Linked DNA regions of Drosophila melanogaster. The protein of the gene in region 2 interacts with the protein of the main gene of each other region in a pairwise test. Each region holds a gene or a part of one and is shown on either strand. Other genes may lie near its edges. The genes, in order: gudu, CG34334, CG14384 and Gas8.

The links.
Region 1: the proteins of CG34334 (region 2) and gudu interact in a two-hybrid assay, tested with the Drosophila melanogaster proteins (one large-scale study listed by BioGRID).
Region 3: the proteins of CG34334 (region 2) and CG14384 interact in a two-hybrid assay, tested with the Drosophila melanogaster proteins (one large-scale study listed by BioGRID).
Region 4: the proteins of CG34334 (region 2) and Gas8 interact in a two-hybrid assay, tested with the Drosophila melanogaster proteins (one large-scale study listed by BioGRID).

What each region holds. Positions count from the first base shown.
Region 1 is NT_033779.5:7,386,706-7,391,430, forward strand, and holds gudu (gudu), read left to right. Parts: upstream 1-1,802; 5' UTR 1,803-1,970; coding exon 1,971-2,587; intron 2,588-2,669; coding exon 2,670-3,921; intron 3,922-3,982; coding exon 3,983-4,123; 3' UTR 4,124-4,197; downstream 4,198-4,725. Other genes in the region: CG5149 (uncharacterized protein), read right to left, coding at 1,270-1,398; CG5160 (uncharacterized protein), read right to left, coding at 4,370-4,725. UniProt on the Drosophila melanogaster protein: Important for spermatogenesis where it may have a role in sperm individualization.
Region 2 is NC_004354.4:22,870,961-22,875,910, forward strand, and holds CG34334 (uncharacterized protein), read left to right. Parts: upstream 1-1,851; 5' UTR 1,852-2,055; coding exon 2,056-4,182; 3' UTR 4,183-4,407; downstream 4,408-4,950.
Region 3 is NT_033777.3:12,965,438-12,969,731, reverse strand, and holds CG14384 (uncharacterized protein), read left to right. Parts: upstream 1-2,019; 5' UTR 2,020-2,131; coding exon of another isoform or gene 2,132-2,278; intron 2,279-2,353; coding exon of another isoform or gene 2,354-2,572; intron 2,573-2,983; 5' UTR 2,984-3,129; coding exon 3,130-3,179; intron 3,180-3,255; coding exon 3,256-3,703; 3' UTR 3,704-3,794; downstream 3,795-4,294. Other genes in the region: CG7381 (uncharacterized protein), read left to right, coding at 1-101, 192-311, 382-501, 565-969, 1,039-1,170, 1,235-1,387, 1,449-1,549; Cyp304a1 (cytochrome P450 304a1), read right to left, coding at 3,960-4,289; grsm (granny smith), read left to right, coding at 2,132-2,278, 2,354-2,572.
Region 4 is NC_004354.4:3,501,837-3,506,744, forward strand, and holds the start of Gas8 (growth arrest specific protein 8), read right to left. Parts: upstream 3,016-4,908; 5' UTR 2,706-3,015; coding exon 2,703-2,705; intron 1,596-2,702; coding exon 1,553-1,595; intron 1-1,552. UniProt on the Drosophila melanogaster protein: Cytoskeletal linker which probably functions in axonemal and non-axonemal dynein regulation. May play a role in the spermatozoa motility.

The DNA.
Region 1 (4,725 bases), on a different chromosome or scaffold from region 2:
CGCCGGATACGTAAACATAATTTTCCCGCTGCTGTCAGCAAATTCTTGCAGGGAACGAAGGTCTGGGAAGCGCTGACACAGATTAACCCATTGAAGGACGTACAATGAATAATAATTTGGTTTGACTGAAAACAAAGTCTCTCAAGTTTTATGAAAATAAATACTACTTCAATGTATGTAAAGTTTCAATTTAGAGAGTTTCCGCTTAAATTACTCTATATGAATGCAAGTCTTATAATTTCCTCATTCTAAAAATCAACTATTTCACATGCCATGCTGTAAACGGGTTAAGCATATGGTTTATTTTTAATTCAATTGGGTTTGGCCCTAATTGACGACCCCAGTCATTGAAATCACGACTAATTCGTTAGCAAGCAAATTCAACAAAGCAAAAGACAAACAGTGAAATGCGGCAGCAAACAAATTAGACAAATTATGGACACGTTCGCACTGGCCCAGGAATTATCAATTCGAAACTGATAACGCCCGAGTTGAAGATATCGAATTTTGCTATACCCTAGGAAGCGCTGTGATAATCAAACACGAGCTATAAATAGATGGAAATATTATAAGGAAAAATCATCATCTGGTTACAAACAAACATTTTTTGAGTGGTTGCATTTCCGTCATCTGTGCTGTGATAAAAATAAAACACAAATCTGGGGCCTTGAACCCGCATCGGAAAAATTATAGCATAAATTGTGTATGATCAGATTGATTTAACTAAATGGGTTAAAATAACAATTTTGGAAAGTTACGTGTACATTTAATCTAAATAGGACTGACTAGTTTAGAAAATTACATTTTTAAACAAGTTGAATAATTTACTTTTTATAAACTCTGTTAAATTTCCTGGTTTGCACTTTAAATCGAAAAAGAACTGTATTAAAATAAGGTTTAGAAACTTTGAACTTTTGTATAATGCCGGATAATGTTGCGACTCACTCTCTTATATAACTAAGCTTCTTTTTCGGAACATAGTACTATGATTAACTTCAATGTTTAATCCTCGAAATAGGAGTTAGTGACAACAACAAATTAATGCCCTAAAGGATATACCCATTCAAGTGAAGGGTGGCCATCGCAGCAGGTGGATGGACGGCCGTTTGTCATGCACTCGAAAGTCCCGATTTCTCTTTTTTTGCCGAAGAAAGTTCACTCCGCGCGTCCTTGAACTTGTGACCCTGACCCTTCCGCAAATGCAGAATGCAGTTGCCATTGATTTTCGCAGTGCACACGTGGCACGGTAACTGGATTTACTTGACTTACCACCAATCTGTCTTGGGTCAACTTCTCAAGTGCTCCGCCAGAGGCGTTTTTGTACGCGGATTCCAGCATGCGTAGCTCTTCCGAATTGTAGAGATTATCCGTCTCCCGCTTGCCACTCGCATTTCCCATCTCAGGACACGAAATTCAGTTGGCTGGTGCTACGACGGCTGGTAAACAAACAATGCAGCTGCAGCTGCGGATGATCGCGGATTTTAATTGAAAATAAAAAACAAACAACACAAGCTGGTGATGGAATGGCAGTCGATTTCCCTGCGATACCCTCGATAGTTTCGGAAACGGGTAAATTTCGCGGTGGTCGTCTGCACTATGAATGGTTATTGTCTGTGCTAAGTCAGGTCGATGTATTTGCTAAACGGTTAATTTTAACCGCTAAGCGAATTCAACGAAGGCCAAGCGAATAAAATAAATTTTAAATGCCTTGGATAGCTGTAGTTAAAAATTTATTAAAATAAAAAAAAACTTACAAGTTTGAGCTAAGATACCTTTGCCCTAGCCCGGTATTTTTGAAATTATCTCAGTTACCTTAGCAACACGCCTTATTAAATCAATTGCCTGGCCTAATAAAGTTCTCCCACACAAAAACACAATAAATTCCGATACAAAACTGAAGAAAGCTGGCATACCGACAGATATTTCCGGAATACGATTGGCCAAATCTGTGAGTAATCCAACGCGAAAGGATGATTGGCACTAGCAGCGGAACGTCCCACAATCGGAGTCGAAAGAAGAAAGAACAGTGCGGATCCTGTCCCAACAGATTCTCAAAGGATAAGCGCCAGGTGGCCGCCGAGGACTCGGATACCACGGAGGTGGAATCGTCTACGGATGAGGAGGAACGCTGGAAGGAAGTGGCGCGAGCCGCTGAGATTCCGGCTGACTATTATAATATCCAAAAACTGGTGAAATACATCAAGGCGGGCAATCAGACAGCCACTATAGTATCGTTGTGCTGCTTGAAGGACTACGATCTGAGCACCCAGATCAATCAGTTCGCCATCTCGGACATCGGCGGACTCGATGTCTTGGTTAACATCCTGGAGTGCAGCGACACCAAGTGCTGTTTGGGCGCCCTCAAAGTTCTCTCAGATATCACACTGAACATCGATATTAGGAAGACCATCGTAGATCTGGATGGCATTCCCCTCATTGTGGACATCCTAAACTCTTCCATGAAGGACCTAAAAACCATGGCCGCCGAGACATTGGCCAATGTGTGCAAGGTGCGACTGGCCAGAAAGTATGTGCGCACCTGCGGAGGAATCCCCAAGCTGGTGGATCTCATCGACATCAAGTTGAGGTGAGTTGGCATTGGATAAAGTGCTTCATACTACATCACCACATATAAGAAATAATTAAAAAAAAACCTAATTATATTATAGCATTCTAAAGACGCCTCGTGACCAATTGAGTCCAGATGATCTGGAATCTCTCGATATGACACGCGCTGGAGCCCGGGCTCTTTTCACTCTGGCCGATTCCAAGCACAACATGGAGCAGATGCGCAAGAGCGGAATTGTTCCTTTGATGGCTCAGCTCCTTAAGTCCTGTCACATCGATGTCGTCATTCCCATAATGGGCACCGTTCGAAAGTGCTCCTCGGAGCCGAAGTTCCAACTGGCCATCACCACCGAGGGCATGATTCCCGACATTGTGAGCCATCTGAGTTCCGAAAATACCGAGCTGAAGATGGAGGGCAGTACAGCGATCTACAAGTGCGCCTTCGACGGAACCACCAGGGATTTGGTGAGGGAGGCTGGGGGCTTGGAACCTTTGGTAACTATCATAAAGGACAAGAATGTGAGGGAAAATAAGCCTTTATTGAGAGGCGCCACTGGAGCGATTTGGATGTGTGCCGTAACCGATGCAAATGTCAAAGTGCTGGATCAACTCAGGACGGTGAACCACCTGGTGGCCTTGCTAAATGATGAGTGTGACGAGGTCCTGACCAACGTGACCGGAGCTATATCTGAATGTGTGAGATTTCAAAGCAATAGGGAGCAACTGCGTCAGGCTGGAGGATTACCAGCAATGGTTTCCCTACTCAACAGTTCTCACGCCCCTCTTCTGGAAAATTTAGCCAAGGGATTGAAGGAGTGTGCCGAAGATCCGGACAGCATGAGAATCCTTGAGGATCTGGATGCGGTCAGGCTGATATGGTCGCTATTGAAGAACCCCACAACTAGGGTTCAGGCCCATGCGGCTTACGCCATATGTCCCTGTGTTCGAAATGCCAACGATTCCGCTGAATTGGTCAGGAGCTTGGTTGGCGCCATGGAACTGGTGGTGGGTCTGCTAAAGTCCAAGGATATCATGGTCTTATCCGCCGTTTGTGCTGCCATTGCAACAATTGCCCAGGATCAAACCAATCTAGCCATCTTAACCGATCTGAAAGTCATCTACAAGCTAGCCGATCTCGTCCAGACCACCGACGACCTCCTTCGAATGAACTTGGCAGCTGCCGTGGCCGCCTGTGCCTGCTTCGGTAATAATACGGAGGAACTGGGACGTCTGCGTACTGTCACTCCGATTGTCACCTACATGACCAGCGACAATCCCTTGGTGCACCGCAGCACGGCCATGGCACTGGAGAAGCTATCGATGGATCCGCAGAACTGCATTACCATGCACCAGGTACATTTCTTCTACCTAATCACACTTAGCAACTCATTTAGATTCTTTTATTTTACTTCAGAGTGGAGTTGTTCCTTTCCTGCTGGAGTGCATTGGATCCACTAACAAGGAGCTCCAGTTGGCCGCCGCTGGTTGTCTGCGCAATATCCGCGAATTGGCCTTGCGTGCCGAGGAATATCTGCTTAAAATCGACGATGACTAGCTTCCTGTTTTTTTTTCTTTGTTAAGTTATTTAATTGTATTTGACGAAATATATGTGTGTATGCCGATGCTACCAATTTCTTGCATTTTTAGCAAATAAATTAATAAGTTAGTAAATTTTTAAACCAGAAATCCCAGAAAAATATGTTTCATTTTCCATGACAATAACATCTAGCTATATAATTATATATTTGTCGCTACATATTTTGACTAACTAAGCTCGACCCACCCTGCATAAAATTCCACTCTAGTAACTGGCATTACTGCCCCTGGTGGAAATGCTCATCCGTCGCTCCACGCGATTCGTGTGTGGCAGCAGGCATCCCGGCGGTGGATACCGCCATCTACGTGGTCGGGACAACAGGGTGCCGTCCGTCGAAGCTCTACTACGGAAGGGAGCATCGATGTCGCTGCGTGAGCTGCTCAAACTGCTACTCGTAATCTCATCCGTAGACTCCGTATGGTCACCGTTGCTCTCCTCCAAACAGGCGCTTCCGATGACCAGAAAGGAATGTCGACCGACGCCCAAAGACGAGGCATCGTAGAAGGAACAGGATCCCGAATCGGGCGTGAGGATTCCATCCGTATTGGCCACATCGCTGG
Region 2 (4,950 bases):
AGTCTACATCGCCGTCGAAAATTCATCTGTATTTTGGTAACTTGCTTGTCCACTACACTAAGGAGTCAGAATCTGCTCGGATTAGGAGTCTTCCAGGGCAACCTCCCTTGACTCCCGTAGATTCCCTGGACACTCTGAAGACGTCGACTGCCACAATTATTTCAACGGCCGTCAACCGCTGGTGCTAGGATATATTATTCCATTAGGCTTTGTTTTGTGTAAATTATTTTGAAACGCTTACCTGAATTTGTCACTAAATCCGGTGTCAATCGCGAGTCTGAATTGTCGTCGGTGGGCCAGTGGGCCAGATGATTTTTCTAGTGGGACAAAAGTCACATTTTTAAATATTTAAATACAGTTTTTTCTTTTTTAACTGACTCTAACTGACTATCCGTCTGAGCCTATAAGAGTTAGCATAAGAGTTTTTGCTTGTTTAAACATATGTTTCAGCGCGTGGTCATTAAATATTTGGCGTAACGTTTCGTATTTGTTTATTGACCTTTAATTTAAACAAAGTAAAACAAATTCAATTAACAACTTATGTTAACTTTAGGAAATAAATGTTCGAAATAAAAATAATGTGTTTGTGACCCGCATTTTTATGTTTAGTAAAAACAAGTGTTCGAAGTTTTTATTTTACCAGGTATGGCATTACGCTTGAATTTAGCATATTTGGACTATAACTAACCTTGTTCACTCTTGTTCGAGCTGATTTAAGCATTTATGTAACGTGTGAGCCTTTGTGTCGTTGATTTTTTCAGAATTATATCCAACTTTGACCAACTGTAAAGTCTGTCAGCCCCAAAGCGTGTGCTTCATTCCAATTGGCTTAGCGAAACTGATCCCGCATACCAAAAGTAATTGGTATTTGGTACACTTTTAAAGAATCGTCAGCTTTCTGAAATATAATCTGAAAGAAAATCAACTAATTTTGACCATTTCAAAGCAGTCGACGATCTAGGGTGATCGCTGCCTAATGAGTGATTGAAGAAAAAAATAAAGAATGTAAGAGTTAATCAGTAATTATATGTATGTGTAATAAAACAAGAAAGCATACCGGAATGCTTCACCTTTGGGGAGATGGGGCTGTCCTAGTCGTTTGAAGCGACACCGACGTGTTGATAATGAGTGATGTCCGCAATAATCCTTCGTGCAACCTAGGTCGGTTGGGTGCCAGTACTTTAAGATTTTGTCGTTTATGTAAATTGAATTCGTTTTTTTTCTTCTACTTTTTTTTGCTTGTCTGCTTTTTAGAGATCATAGATATGTAGGGTCGATAGTCGATGTCGATAGTTATCGATGCCTATGTTGCAAGCTGTGTGGCACTCCGCCCTGAGAAAAGCCTGAGCTAGGGGCACTGCCACTAAAAAAAAGAAGGCAGTTCGTAACATACATATATAGGTTAAGTTAATCTGCGAATCTGCACACTTTCTTACAACTAACTTCCTATCTTTTATACTTCCTGTGAGCCCGACGTTTATACGGACAGACAGACGGACATTGTTCATTTGATCAAAATTTGATATGTCATATTAATTGCTAGTTATAATAAAGAGATCATAGTTTCGGTGCTTTTAATTATAAAGTGTTTTTACTTGGTATACAACAAATTTGTATTTAAATGTATAGTAACTGGAAGGGTATATAAACTTTGTATTACCGATGCTACCTTCCTTTTCTTGTCTGTGTATATTTAAATTATGTTGACAGGTGATAGGAATGCCTTCCCTGAATGACGATAGTTACAGCCCTGATTTCGAAGTGTTGGACAACGATTATATCCTTAATGTGGTCTGGTCTAGTGTTAAATTGCTTGAGAATTCGTTACTGCGGTGACCTAAGGTGGCAACCACAAAGCAAAAAAGTTGTTATCTATCATTGAGTGGCCTTTGCTTGGTCAGCTTTTATTTTTATGACAGTTGTCAGACCAAGTTTTTACACGCCATTACATTTTCATAAGGCAGCCGTTCCCAACGTGTGAGTAACGGAGCATCAAATCAAAATAGTTTCGAAGGCCGTCATATTTGTTCGCAGTGAAAGTGAAATCTTGTGAAAATGACCAAGGTATCAGGGACGAAGGCAAAAGACGATGGCGAGCCAGCCACTAAGCGCGAACGCAAGGAGATGCATTCGCACAAGAAAGATCGCAGGGAGCGATTGGAACGCATGGAGCGCATGGACCGCAGGGACCGCAGAGACCGCAGAGAACGCAGGGACCGCAAGGACCGCAAGGACCGCAAGGACCGCAAAGAGCCAGCCAGAGGCCCCTCCTCCCGGATGAGGAACATCTCACCAATTCACTCGAATGCTTCGGAGAGCACTGAAGCAGACTGCAGCGACTCCAGCTACTCGGACTCGAGCTACAGCACCTCTGGATCGTCCAGCTGCACAAGCTTTTTGAGCTCCACCAGCAGCAGCTACTCGTCGAGCGACAGCGAGCCAGAGCCAGAAGGATCCGTCAAAAAGTTTGAGCGCACCAAGCACTCGTGTTGCCATTACCGACACCATCGTCGCCATAGGCGCCACCAAAACCCTCGTCATTCGCACCGTCGCCGGCACGTCACCCGTTGCCATCACTCGAATCACGGACGCTTTTCCAAGCGTTTGGCTAAAAAGAGTCGTCGTGGCATATCCGCCGCCAAGGGAGCTATCACGGTTAAGGAGGAGGTTGTCGAAAAAATTTCTCCTGCTTCAGCCCCTGGGGTCATTCAGATACCGGCACCCATTCCGCTGCCCGTGCCGGCACCCATTCCGGCTGTCCTGTCTGTTTCGGAGGCACAACCGCGTTCCCACTCCCGTTCGCAATCGCACTCCCATCTCCATAGCCATTCCAGCTCCCATAACAATCCCCACCCGCAACCCGTTCCGGCCCCTGTTCCGGTACCAATTCCTGCTCCGATCGCCATGCCAACTCCTATGAGGGAGCCAAGCAGCGTGGTATTGGACCGCAAGTCTCGTAGACGCAGCTCCACCTCGCAGAACATCGCCTCGGCCGCCAGCAGTTCTATCGGCACCAACCAAGCCATCATCCAGTCTAGCACTATAACCATTACAAAGACGATTGCCAACGCCACTGGTATGGCCGAAACCAATTCAAGTGGCGGCGCTAGCATCTCCAGCACAAAAAATAAGGGGGACAGCAGTACCGGCCAATCTTCAAAGACGGTTGTCACCAATAACGCGGGCAGCAAGGCGGGTTACCAAGCCCCCAAGACTTCAGTGGCAAGCACATCTTCGAAAGCGGTGGTCAGGTCTAACGCAAGCGCCAGTTCAGGCCACGGGAACCACACCAGTTCCAGCTCGAGTTTCACCCAGCTGCACTCCAGTGCCAGGCCCTCGACAGCCAAAGATCACGACAAGAGTCCTCAGCAGAACCGCTCAGGCAGCTCAGGCCCCAAGGGCAAGTCGTCGAAGATCAACGATCCTCCACGTCGTGGCTCTTCACCGTCTGCTGGTGCAGAACCTACTCGCCAAAAACAAAGCGTTCAAAATCAAAATGGGCGGAATTGCAGCAGCCAGTGGAACCATCGGCGCGGTGAAGGGGATGGAGAAGGAGCAGAAGCAAGTGGACGGGGCTACAGAGCCGTGGGTGAGGTAAACAAAGTGGCCTACAGAAACGGAAAGGACGCCTTCAAATTTCGCCAACCCGTGCGCAATGTTCGCCTGCACATTAAGGGATTGACGCGTCAGGTGACCAAGGAGCACATAACCGAGATATTTGGTCACTTCGGCGCCCTGACGGCAGTCGACTTTCCAATGGACCGTTTCCAAGGGCGCCAGGGACGCGGATACGCCTTTGTGGAGTACTCACGTCCAGAGGACTGCGCCAGTGCCATCAAGCATATGAACGGCGGGCAGATCGATGGGAAGCTGATCAGGGTGTCCGCCTTTCAGGAAAGCATGCTAAAGGCGCCGTGGCGTCAATACCGACGTTACTCGCCAGTCAACCGGCGCCAGAGCCAGCGTACGTTGTCCCGCTCGGGCTCGTCGTCACGCTCTCGATCGCCGTCCCGCTCTGCGTCCGGCTCGGAATACGGGTCGCGGTCCTCCCACTCTCGCGTCCGCTCTATGTCGGGATCGCGCTATTCTCGGCGCAACCGTTCGCAATCGTGCTCCTACACTCGCTCATCGCCGCGCTACGGGCATTACCATCGCCCTAGACGCGATTCGCGTTCGCCCTAGATAGGCGGACCTGTCTAATGTTGCAAAAGGAAGGCGAGATTAAGCCAGACAGGATTTTCAGGACTCTGCCAGATGCCTATTTTATTCCATTCCAACTTCAAATACAAATGTAGACTTGATGGACATCGTGCGTTTTAAAAGTTACTTATTAATACCAGTCTAATTTAAAAACATTGTTGGGCTTAAAATAAATAAAAATAAAAATCCATGCTCCGCACAAAAAAGAATTGTGAGGTATATCAGAAAATAATCATCGTATGTAAGGTGGTTATCTGTTAGTAATAATATAAAAGCCCACTGCAATCAATCGATTACCAAAAGACAGGTAAATGGTATTTCGTAGAGAACGCTTAGAAAAAAAGTACCGCTATTCGATGTAAAATCAAGAACAAACCATATCGAAAGTACGGTAAGCCCAAAACTTGTATAAGGGTATAATATATATAATAGGGTATAATAGATTCGTTGAAAAGTATGTAACAGACATAAGGAAGCGTTTCCGACTATATTAAGTATATATATTCTTGATCAGGATCAATAGCCGAGTCGAGACAAGTCGTCTGTCCGTCTGTCCGTATGAACGTCGAGATCTCAGAAACTATAAAAGCTAAAAGGTTGAGATTCAGAATACAGATTGTAGAGACAAATGCGCAGTGAAAGCTTGCTGACCCGTGTTGCCACGCCCAATCGCCAACAAACCGCCCACACACTTTTTTTTGGTTTGTTCATAATTTTATTAGTCTTGTAAATTTCAATCGATTTGCCAAT
Region 3 (4,294 bases), on a different chromosome or scaffold from region 2:
ACGCCGCTTGCCCGCCCTCTTCCGATTCGATGACGAGGATATAAAGACCTACTCCACGCTGGGTTCCAGCCGCGATGACGACGATGCCGATGAGAAGAAGTGTGAGTATCCAAGAATGCCCCCAAAAAAATGAAGTCTCTCAATGCTTAGGCAATCTTAAATATATTTCAACTATTTTTTTTCCCATTTAGATGGCAGCAGCTGCACGGATAATGGAAAGACATGCTCGGGTCTGCCGCACTCGATTTGTTCCAAGAATATTTGCCTATGTCGCCAGGGTTACTATGCCCGCAATGGAAAATGTTTTGCCGGTGAGTAAACTGGGTTTCCCCCAATTTAATTCTTCTATTAATGAAATTAACTGAAATGAAAATTCTTTAGAACTGGGGGAAATTGCGGAGAGCACGGATGAGTGCGAGTACGAGTTCGATCAGTTGACCAAAACTTGCAATTGCCAAAAGAATTATTTCTACGAGCGGGATCTGCGCAATTGCAGAAAACGTAGGTGGTTCCAACGCTAGCTGCTGAATCGCACTTAAGATATATCCTTTTCCATCAAAACAGCCATTCAATACCACTTATCCTGCACCTCGAACAGCCAATGCAGTCCATTTGGCGCCTCCTATTGCCACCCGGAGATTCCGAGGAGGTGCACCTGCGAGGAGTACGCTCTCTACGATGCCATCAAGCAGCTCTGCGAATACAAACGTGGCCTGGGAGCCGAGTGTGAGTCGAACGATGGCTGTCCTGTGGATCACTCCGTCTGCTCCAATCGCGTGTGCGTTTGTGCGGACAACTACTTTGAGAAGGACGATCAGTGTATGCGTGGCATCGGTGCCGACTGCTCGGTGGAGGATGACTGCATACCTGAGAACACCGAATGCCAGGAGAAGGACGAGGAGGATCAGTCGCGCACCTGCCAGTGCCGAAAGGGATACGTGCACTTTAAGGATGAGTGCCTAAAAGAGGGTTAGTACTCAGAAGCTGAAATGCAAAGCAGCAAAATTATGCCCTGCCCCACATTACATTTCATTATAGCCGAGGAGCTGGAGGACGAGTGCGTCGAGGATGAGCAGTGCAAGCCGCTCCTGGCGAGCTGCAATTCGGAGGGCAAGTGTGGATGCAACGATGAGCAGCATGCTAAGAACGGAGTCTGTGAGACGAAGCGAGGTAATTGAGTCGCTAAGCTTTCTTTAATTATTTGTAATAATTCTAATATGTTGCAATCTTGCAGAGCTGGGAGAGTCGTGCACCAAGGCCACCGAGTGCTATGTAGAAAAGGATCCCGAGAATGTCGAGTGCCGCAACTCCGTGTGCCAGTGCAAGCTGGGCTACTCGGCGAACGCCAATCAGAATCAATGCATTCGCGTGATGCCCAATAAGAAAAGTAAGTGTCCTTGCAAAACCAATTGAGTAAGGATGATCTATGAATGTCACGCTTTTCGCAGATTCTTCCGGTAGACCAAGTGCTCTCAAAATCATCACCTTCATGCTGATTGGCTCCGCTTTCCTTATCACCAGTGCGGCCATAAAGCAGGCCTACTACTAGAACCAAACCAAAACCTAAATCCTTTCACCTGCGTGTTTGGGGAATGGCGAGGATAATCGAGGGAGGAGTTGGCCAAGGACCTTGGGGGGATCGGGGTGATTTGGGGATCGGCGGGAGTGGCCAGTATTAGCCAAGTTACTGGCATGGATGCAGGTCCATGCGCAACGTGAATATAAATCAATTAGTTCGTAAGTTGATATTTAGGAGTCGAAGCAATATAAATTTGGAGAAAGGGTCCTCGGAACGGAACGACTCTCGCTTATCTAATACGGCTAAGTGTAATGACAAATTATCTGTAAGTTTTGAAGTTAAACCGCTTGTTGCTAGGCTAAGCGAACAGTTTTTAACCAAATTGTAATATATACATCATAATAAACTAAGGCCAACGAAGAGTTGTGTATCAAATCCAGAAACTGGCAATTATTATTAAACAAGTAGTTTTGAGATTTCACTTCTATCAGTTAGCAACAGCAACTCAACTCAAATTTGTACCTTTCAATTTTTCAAGCTCGAATGTTTTGTACGTAATTCTTAGTTTAGCATCCTAAATTTCAGTACGTTAGTTGAAAAGTATAAGTAGAGATGGCACCGTATCCAAACGGCTTTTTAAGTTACGCGGTGGCTATACATCTTAAATCCCCGCACCTCCAAATGGAGGAGTCACTGCGTCAGGGAGCGGGGTACTGGAATGCATTGAGTTCGCGAGAAAAGAATCAGTATCGATCGAAAGTAAGTTCCTAGGGATTACACACTTTCCCCCTGACCGGCGAACTTTATCTTCTGCCCTTCGTTAATACCCTGCAGTACCAGAAACGGTGTCTCAGCAAAAGCTCCACTTCGCGTCATCGGCGTCAATCGGAGAAACTCAAACATATGGGATGCGGCCGCAAGAAAATAGTGCCCAAGTGTTCCCGAAAGCCCACGACTCCGGCCTGCAAGCCAAGGAGCGTCAATAGGTGTCCCCGGAAAAGCAGCTCCAACCGCTCGAGTCGTGAATGCATGCTGATGAAGTCACCAAAAGGCGTAAGTGCCAGTAGTTTAAATAATATTAACATTTATTTTATTATTTATAAAAGTTACTTTTAAGTAAGATATATTTTCATGTGTATGTCAACTTCACTTGTTTTGATAGTGAATTTTAAACACTGGGTTCATAGCGAACAAGTTGTCGTTTTCGTAACCAAACAATTATCACCTTGTTTTCAACTCTATTTTCTATTTTTTTTGTTGCCACTCAATTGTCTTAATATTGATAAGGGCATTTTGGTCAAAGTGTTTGCACATTATCTTGCAGTTTGCTATTTTATTTTTGTTATCAGCTCGGCTAGTAAAACAATCTGCAGTAATTTGACTGTATCTTTTGATTTATATTCGATTTGCGACCCATTTAAAATGGAGATTAAAATCTAGGGACCTTGAATTTCTGTATTTCAGAAGCTCATATTTGCATTCGAATCGAAGAGAACAGTAAAACAGTGTCAAATATTTCTGGGTGAACTTTCCGAGTACAAATAGGTCAAAGTTGATTTTGTCGTAAGACAATTGCTAAACTGAACTGCCTATAAATTTCAAGTCTCAAAATGTCCCTCAATTGCCCGGTTCATAATAAGAACTCCAGTGGCTTAAACATGTAAGTTTCGGCCAAGAGATCGCTTTCGATATCCGGCGTATGTGTTCCTTGTGGTAACAATGTGGTTTGCATACAGTACCAGGTCCGCAACCTCGGATGACGTCAAGATCGCCATGTGCGCCTGCTTGGAATTGGCCAACTGTCGGGCCGAAAACTGTCAGCTGAAGAAGAAACTGACCGAATATGAGGCCAAGATCTGCAGTCTCGAACAACTGGTGGCCACCATTGCGGAGGAGCAGAACCAGATTCGCCAAGAAGTGATCGAGTTGCGCAATGAGACTCAGGGTGCAACGATGGAAGCCGCCAACGAGGTGGATCCTTTGGACAACTCATTCGTGAACCCGCAAGAGGAAATGGACGATGAGGAAGGATACGATCCGGATTCAGAATCCGAGTACAATGCTATCCAGTCCCCCAATCCCTCAATACATTCTTCGATGGTCTCGCTGGTTCGCTCATTGAGTTTTTCATCCACCAGCTCAGATTCTGATTGCATTGTATACAGCGATAATGAGGATTTCTAAGAAACCCATCTCATTCCAATCGCATCTTCTCAACAAGTTCCGTTCGCGAACTTTGATACCACACGATATGAGTAAACGACAATGTTAAAATAAATAGTTCGTTGTGGTGCATCACATAATAGTATTGGGCAATTCTAGAATATTTTTGAAATGTGACGGAATAAAATTCCTCAAAAAATATCCAAGCAAACTAGCTAACGTAATCAGTAAAATTACTTTGTCTTAAAAATAGATAACTCTAATATCTTGGCTACTTTCAATGCCGATCCTGTAGTTGCAGCCAGAAATCTGGTGGCGAAATAATCAGTCCATTGAGGTTCTGGGAGAGATCGGGCAACCGATCATTGGGGCCCAGGACGAAGTCAAAGTGCTGGCACATGGTCGCTGTCACCAGGAAGAGCATGTTGCGCGCAAATGTCTCGCCGGCACAGAGCCGTTTTCCCGCTCCAAAGGGCAGCGAGACATCCAGTTTCAGGCAGAGCTTGCCATCCGCGTCCAGGAATCTCTCCGGCCGGAACTGCTCCGGATCCGACCAAATACGGGCGTCCGAGTGGAAGGCATACAGGCTGGGCACGACAATGGTGTCCTGTA
Region 4 (4,908 bases), about 19 Mb from region 2:
GAAGACTTTACTCGTTGAGTTTTTGTAAGAAACTGATTTTATTTGGAAATATCTTCGGTTTAAATAGGTGACATGAGAATCGCATCTTAAAGTAAATGGCCTACGCAGAGGCCTACGTAAATAGTCCCCGCCTTATCGAGGTCCCACGCTCGGGCACATCTGCCTATCTTGAGCGGCGAGGACCTTATCTGTGGTCTCCCACTAAGGGACTATTTTAGGAGGCGGGGAACGATCTCAAGTGACTGACTCATGTAGTGTGCACTTAAATTACATGTTTTTGAGCAATGCACCCATGTCGCCTTAGATAACAAAATCCTAAATATAATTTATCGCTCTCGATTCATTTACATAAGATATGAACGGAGCCCAAAATTGTAAGTCTTTAAATATATTCGTGTTCATGTGTGAACAGGAATTTTTTTGTCTTGGTTATTTTCTAATATTGGGCTAGGGGTCCGTGAAAAGTTTAGTCCGCATATTGGGGGCTCCCGTCCTTATGGCTATTTAATGAGAGCGGCACGCCTGGTTACCCTCTCCTCCCCCCCCCTTTTGCCCCTTTTTCGTCCATTTTTACCCCTGCCACGCCCCCCCCCCCCCTTCCCTTAGCCGCTGCCCGCATATGTGACCCAACAGCAGACCGTGTTGTAATTGTTTTCTGTAATTGGCATCGTTGGCCGGCTGGTGCCAGGACTCGGCCTAGGAAGGGCTACTAGGACCAACAGGACCAACAGGACTACCAGGAGACGAACTAGATGCCACACGGTGGAAAAAAGACCAAAGACATTGCATTGCAAAGACAATTTGAAGTCAAAGTGAAGGAGCGCGTGTAAACTATTTAGAGACATGTGTTAAGATAAGTGTGTGGCATAAACAAATCGATGATATAACTATAATAATACGATACACTAGGAGTTTCCTTGCGTTCCACGAGTAAGAGCGTTTTTCAGTGCACGCACAGAAACAATTATGTGCGTTAGAGAGATCCCAGAGAGCGGAGGATGGTTGGGTATTTGTGGAACCTACAGTGTGCTCACTCGTGCAAATTAAGTGGTCAGTTTGGAACCCCCCCTCCCCATTTTTTGCCTTTAAATTTTCTGACTGCAAGGCTGCAGTCAGAGCAATTGCATCGGGAATTTCTTGTCCTCAACGCTCCTATCGTCCCTATCGTTGCGCCCGCGTCCTGCCTTCTCTTTTGCTTCTCTCCTCACGCAGATTATCGTTATTTACTAATTGTTTTGCTTGGCCTTTATAAATTGCCCTGAATGACCAATGTCCGCCATTCCGGCTGCCCAGATATCCAACTACCCAACTACCCAGTGGTGGCACCCTGCTGCCATTAATGTTCCGAAAATGAATTGCCAGGCAGTCCTCGTCCTTGTTCAGTTTGTCTACTCGTTGAGGGTCTTTAACAGCCGGTGTTCTTAAAGAGGGCACTAAATGAATTTTGCAACAATTAACTGATATCCTTCACTTCAATTACCGTTCAAAGTAGTTAAATTTGGGAATTCATAAATCTATGCTAAAGTGCAGTTTACTCGAGCTTTTTACTTACCTGGCAATTTTTTGCCTTTTTTGCCCTTTTTCCCTTTAGGCGGCTGTAAGAAAATAAGTTCAAATGAAATTATTATTTTGATTTAGTTTTAATCTCAAAAGAGAACGCACGTTACAAGAGAAAATCTTATTTAATTCATTTAAAGAATCCGAGCCGAGCAGGAAACTCAACTTGAAGTCTCGGCTGAACTTGCAGCAAAGAATTTCCACATTTGTCTATGCAAATTGAAAGAGTTCTACTCGCAGGAGAATGGAAATGGGGTACTGACTGTGCAATTGTCGTCTGCAGTTCGCCACTATTTTTCGCACTTTAAATCCTTTAACAACGTTTAATTCGATTCCCTTCACGTGGGAGAAAGGCAGCGAAAGGCGGAGAAAGCGGGCAACTGCCATCGTTGCTTTAAATAATGTGATGGCGCGGCTTTCAAAACAATTTCGCAACAGCTGTTGGCTGTTGGCTGCTGGCTTATTGCATATTTTATGACTGCAAATTATTCAAAAATTTTCGAAGCCGCCTGCGCCCGTCGCCAACCGCGCTTTCGCATGTCCAAAGGCGCAATGTATATATTTATATATATATATATATAAATATAAATATAAATATAAACATATATATGTAGCCGATGGAAAAAAGGCGGATATATGTTGGGGGCAGGTCTATACATAAACAAATGATCGAAAATAGACAACCAGCAGGAGTTGGAGAGGAGGACTCCTGCTTGACTGCTATAAATACACAGTGGAGCCACTGTAAAGGGAATAGTTATACTAACTTAGGTTCTCCCTACATATGTTCTTATATAGACAGAACGACTACTAAAGTTGCTTTGAAATGAATGCGCCATACCAACGTTGACATTTTGACTAGCAGTAGCAGGACAGCGCCTTGCCGAGGCTTCACTGTAGCCCACTCGCAAAGTGCAGTTTGTATATGCAGCAACAGCAACAGCCTGGCTTGGCATGAAAAATTGAATGCGCCGCTTGCAGTGCAACTGAAAAAAAAAATCTGAAAAGCTGAGACCAAAAGGAGCAGCGGCATGGAACCGGAAATCGGATAGAGGCGGAAACTGCTGCTGGCCAAGCAGTGCGGCCATAAGGCGGCCGAATGGGTGCACTGCTTTGTTAATGTGATTTAACAACTTATTGCTCACCATACTGCTGCCGGTGCTTCTTCCTCTGCTTCGATTCCTCTGCTAAGAATAAGAACCACTTCGGCTTGGTCTTTCCTGCCAACTGAGCTATTGGCGTTCTACGGTCCAACAACCAAACAAACTTATCGATAAAGCAGTTGCCAATGTGTGTGTTGTGGGTGTCTCGTGTATTCGTGTGTGTGTGTGTGTGTGTCTCCGGGCAACCGAAAGAAGAGGTTAAAGGTTGAAGCGTTGTTTTTTCGGTTCAGTCTTCTCTCAATTATATTTCTACGGCAGGGACAAATGGTTTTGAACTGGCAAAATTCAAAATTTGGGGAAACTTTTGCAGTTATCAACTGGGTTACTAGGGGCGGGAAGATTTTCATGTGCTGAAAAACATCTAACTAAAGCGTAGTGATATTATTCGAATATCATATTATATATATTTCTAAATACAAAATGCAGGTATACATTCAACAAAATAAACCACATCTACTTTGGTATACGCGTGTGCCCGACATTAGTTTGCTGCCCAAGCCAGTGAAAACCAAAAAGCCAGCCCAGACCAGACCAGACTCTTTCTCTTGTCGCCGTCTGCTGTCTGCTTCCTATAAATGGTCTCTTGAATTTTCTCTGCCCCGGTTTTCTTAATTTTCCACCCTGCACATTGGCCCCAGAATTTTCCCTGCATCTGTTTGTTTATTTGCCGTTTGTTGGACGGACTTTAAATGCTGTTGGCACTGCAGTCTCTGCTCTTGACTACTGGCTAATTTGATGATTTCGTGAAATACGATATTATCAGGAAGCTGACAGATCTTCGGCTTCTCCTTTTGCTTGAGAATTGCTTGATGGTCCTGAAAATCTCGGTCGAATCAACTTTATTAGTCCGTTGAATAGCACAGCACCTATGGCCTGGAATTTCCCCCAGAAACTCCGCCACTTTCCCGCCTTAATTAATGCTGTCTAGGGGCGGGGCAGGTTGGGTAAACAAAAGTCGGTGGGCTCTTCGGTTAAATGCTTTAATTGAAATTAATAACCGCAGCCAGTTTTGGCCAGTTGAGCAGTACGTCGGCAGTTGAGACAAGTATCCCGTGGCTTTCGCATGGGAAAACATTTTCGGACCCGGCACATAGACACCGAGAATTTTCAATTGTTTTCATTAAAAGTCAATTTTTGATAGCAAAGACGCTGTGGCTGGCTTACAGACAGAAAAACTATTATTTCCACGTTATAAAAATGTTTATAGCCAAGACTTGAAGTGGCGAAGCGACACGGAACAAAATACATATGATCCAACATATAAAATGGGAAACAAGTTTTGTTTTTTTTTTTTTGCAATCTAAGCCGTTAAGTTACCCAATTTTCCTCCTGTGTACCTTCAACCCTTTTTAGACACTTTTCCATCTGCCCTGCATAATTTTTGTTTCATTTTATTCTTGCCAACGGCTGCGGTCGGTCATGGCCCATTGAATTCCGTAACGGCTGCCAAGGGTTAAAGGGGTGGCAAAAATGGGTAGCCGCTGAAAAAGCACTGATTGAAAGTGAAAGTATTTAAAATATGATTAGAAAATTTGCTTATCAGGACCGAGGTGTGTGCGCGCTTTAAGGAGAATTCTTTAAGAAGCGAGAAAAGGTAAACAATTAATAAGATGAGTATCGTCTATGCACGATCCAATCAAACATAAAGGAATCTCGTGTATATCGTAGGAAAGCCTCAAGATCTCAGTTCTGCTGCGAAGTAATGATACGCTCCTTAGAGCTTCTTCCCTGTTGATTGAATAGCATATGGGCAGCCATCGTGAAAAATTCAATTCGATACAACCAACCAGCAGACACCTACTGAGATTTTCTACCAATTCAATTACGAAAATGATTAAATTATTATTATTCCTTATTTTCGAACAAACCTGCTGGTTTCCACACACGACAAATATAAAATAATAAAACCGCAAAGCCAATGCATAACATATATTGTTTTCAAATTAATGTTTTTACGTCTTGCGTTTTCTTTTGATTCTAATTGAGTTCCGTAATTTCCTTTTAAAGAAAATGCAATCTGTTAAGTTTTAGTTCTTTTATTTTGTCAGAGCTTTACTCTGGGTAAAAATTTATACATTAAATTAAATGTTTTATTACATATTGTTTTCGTTCTCGTAGCAGAAGTCCAATAAATGCCAACTCAGTTGATGCAACTTGGGTGTGTTGAAAATCGTGGGATTTTTCGGAG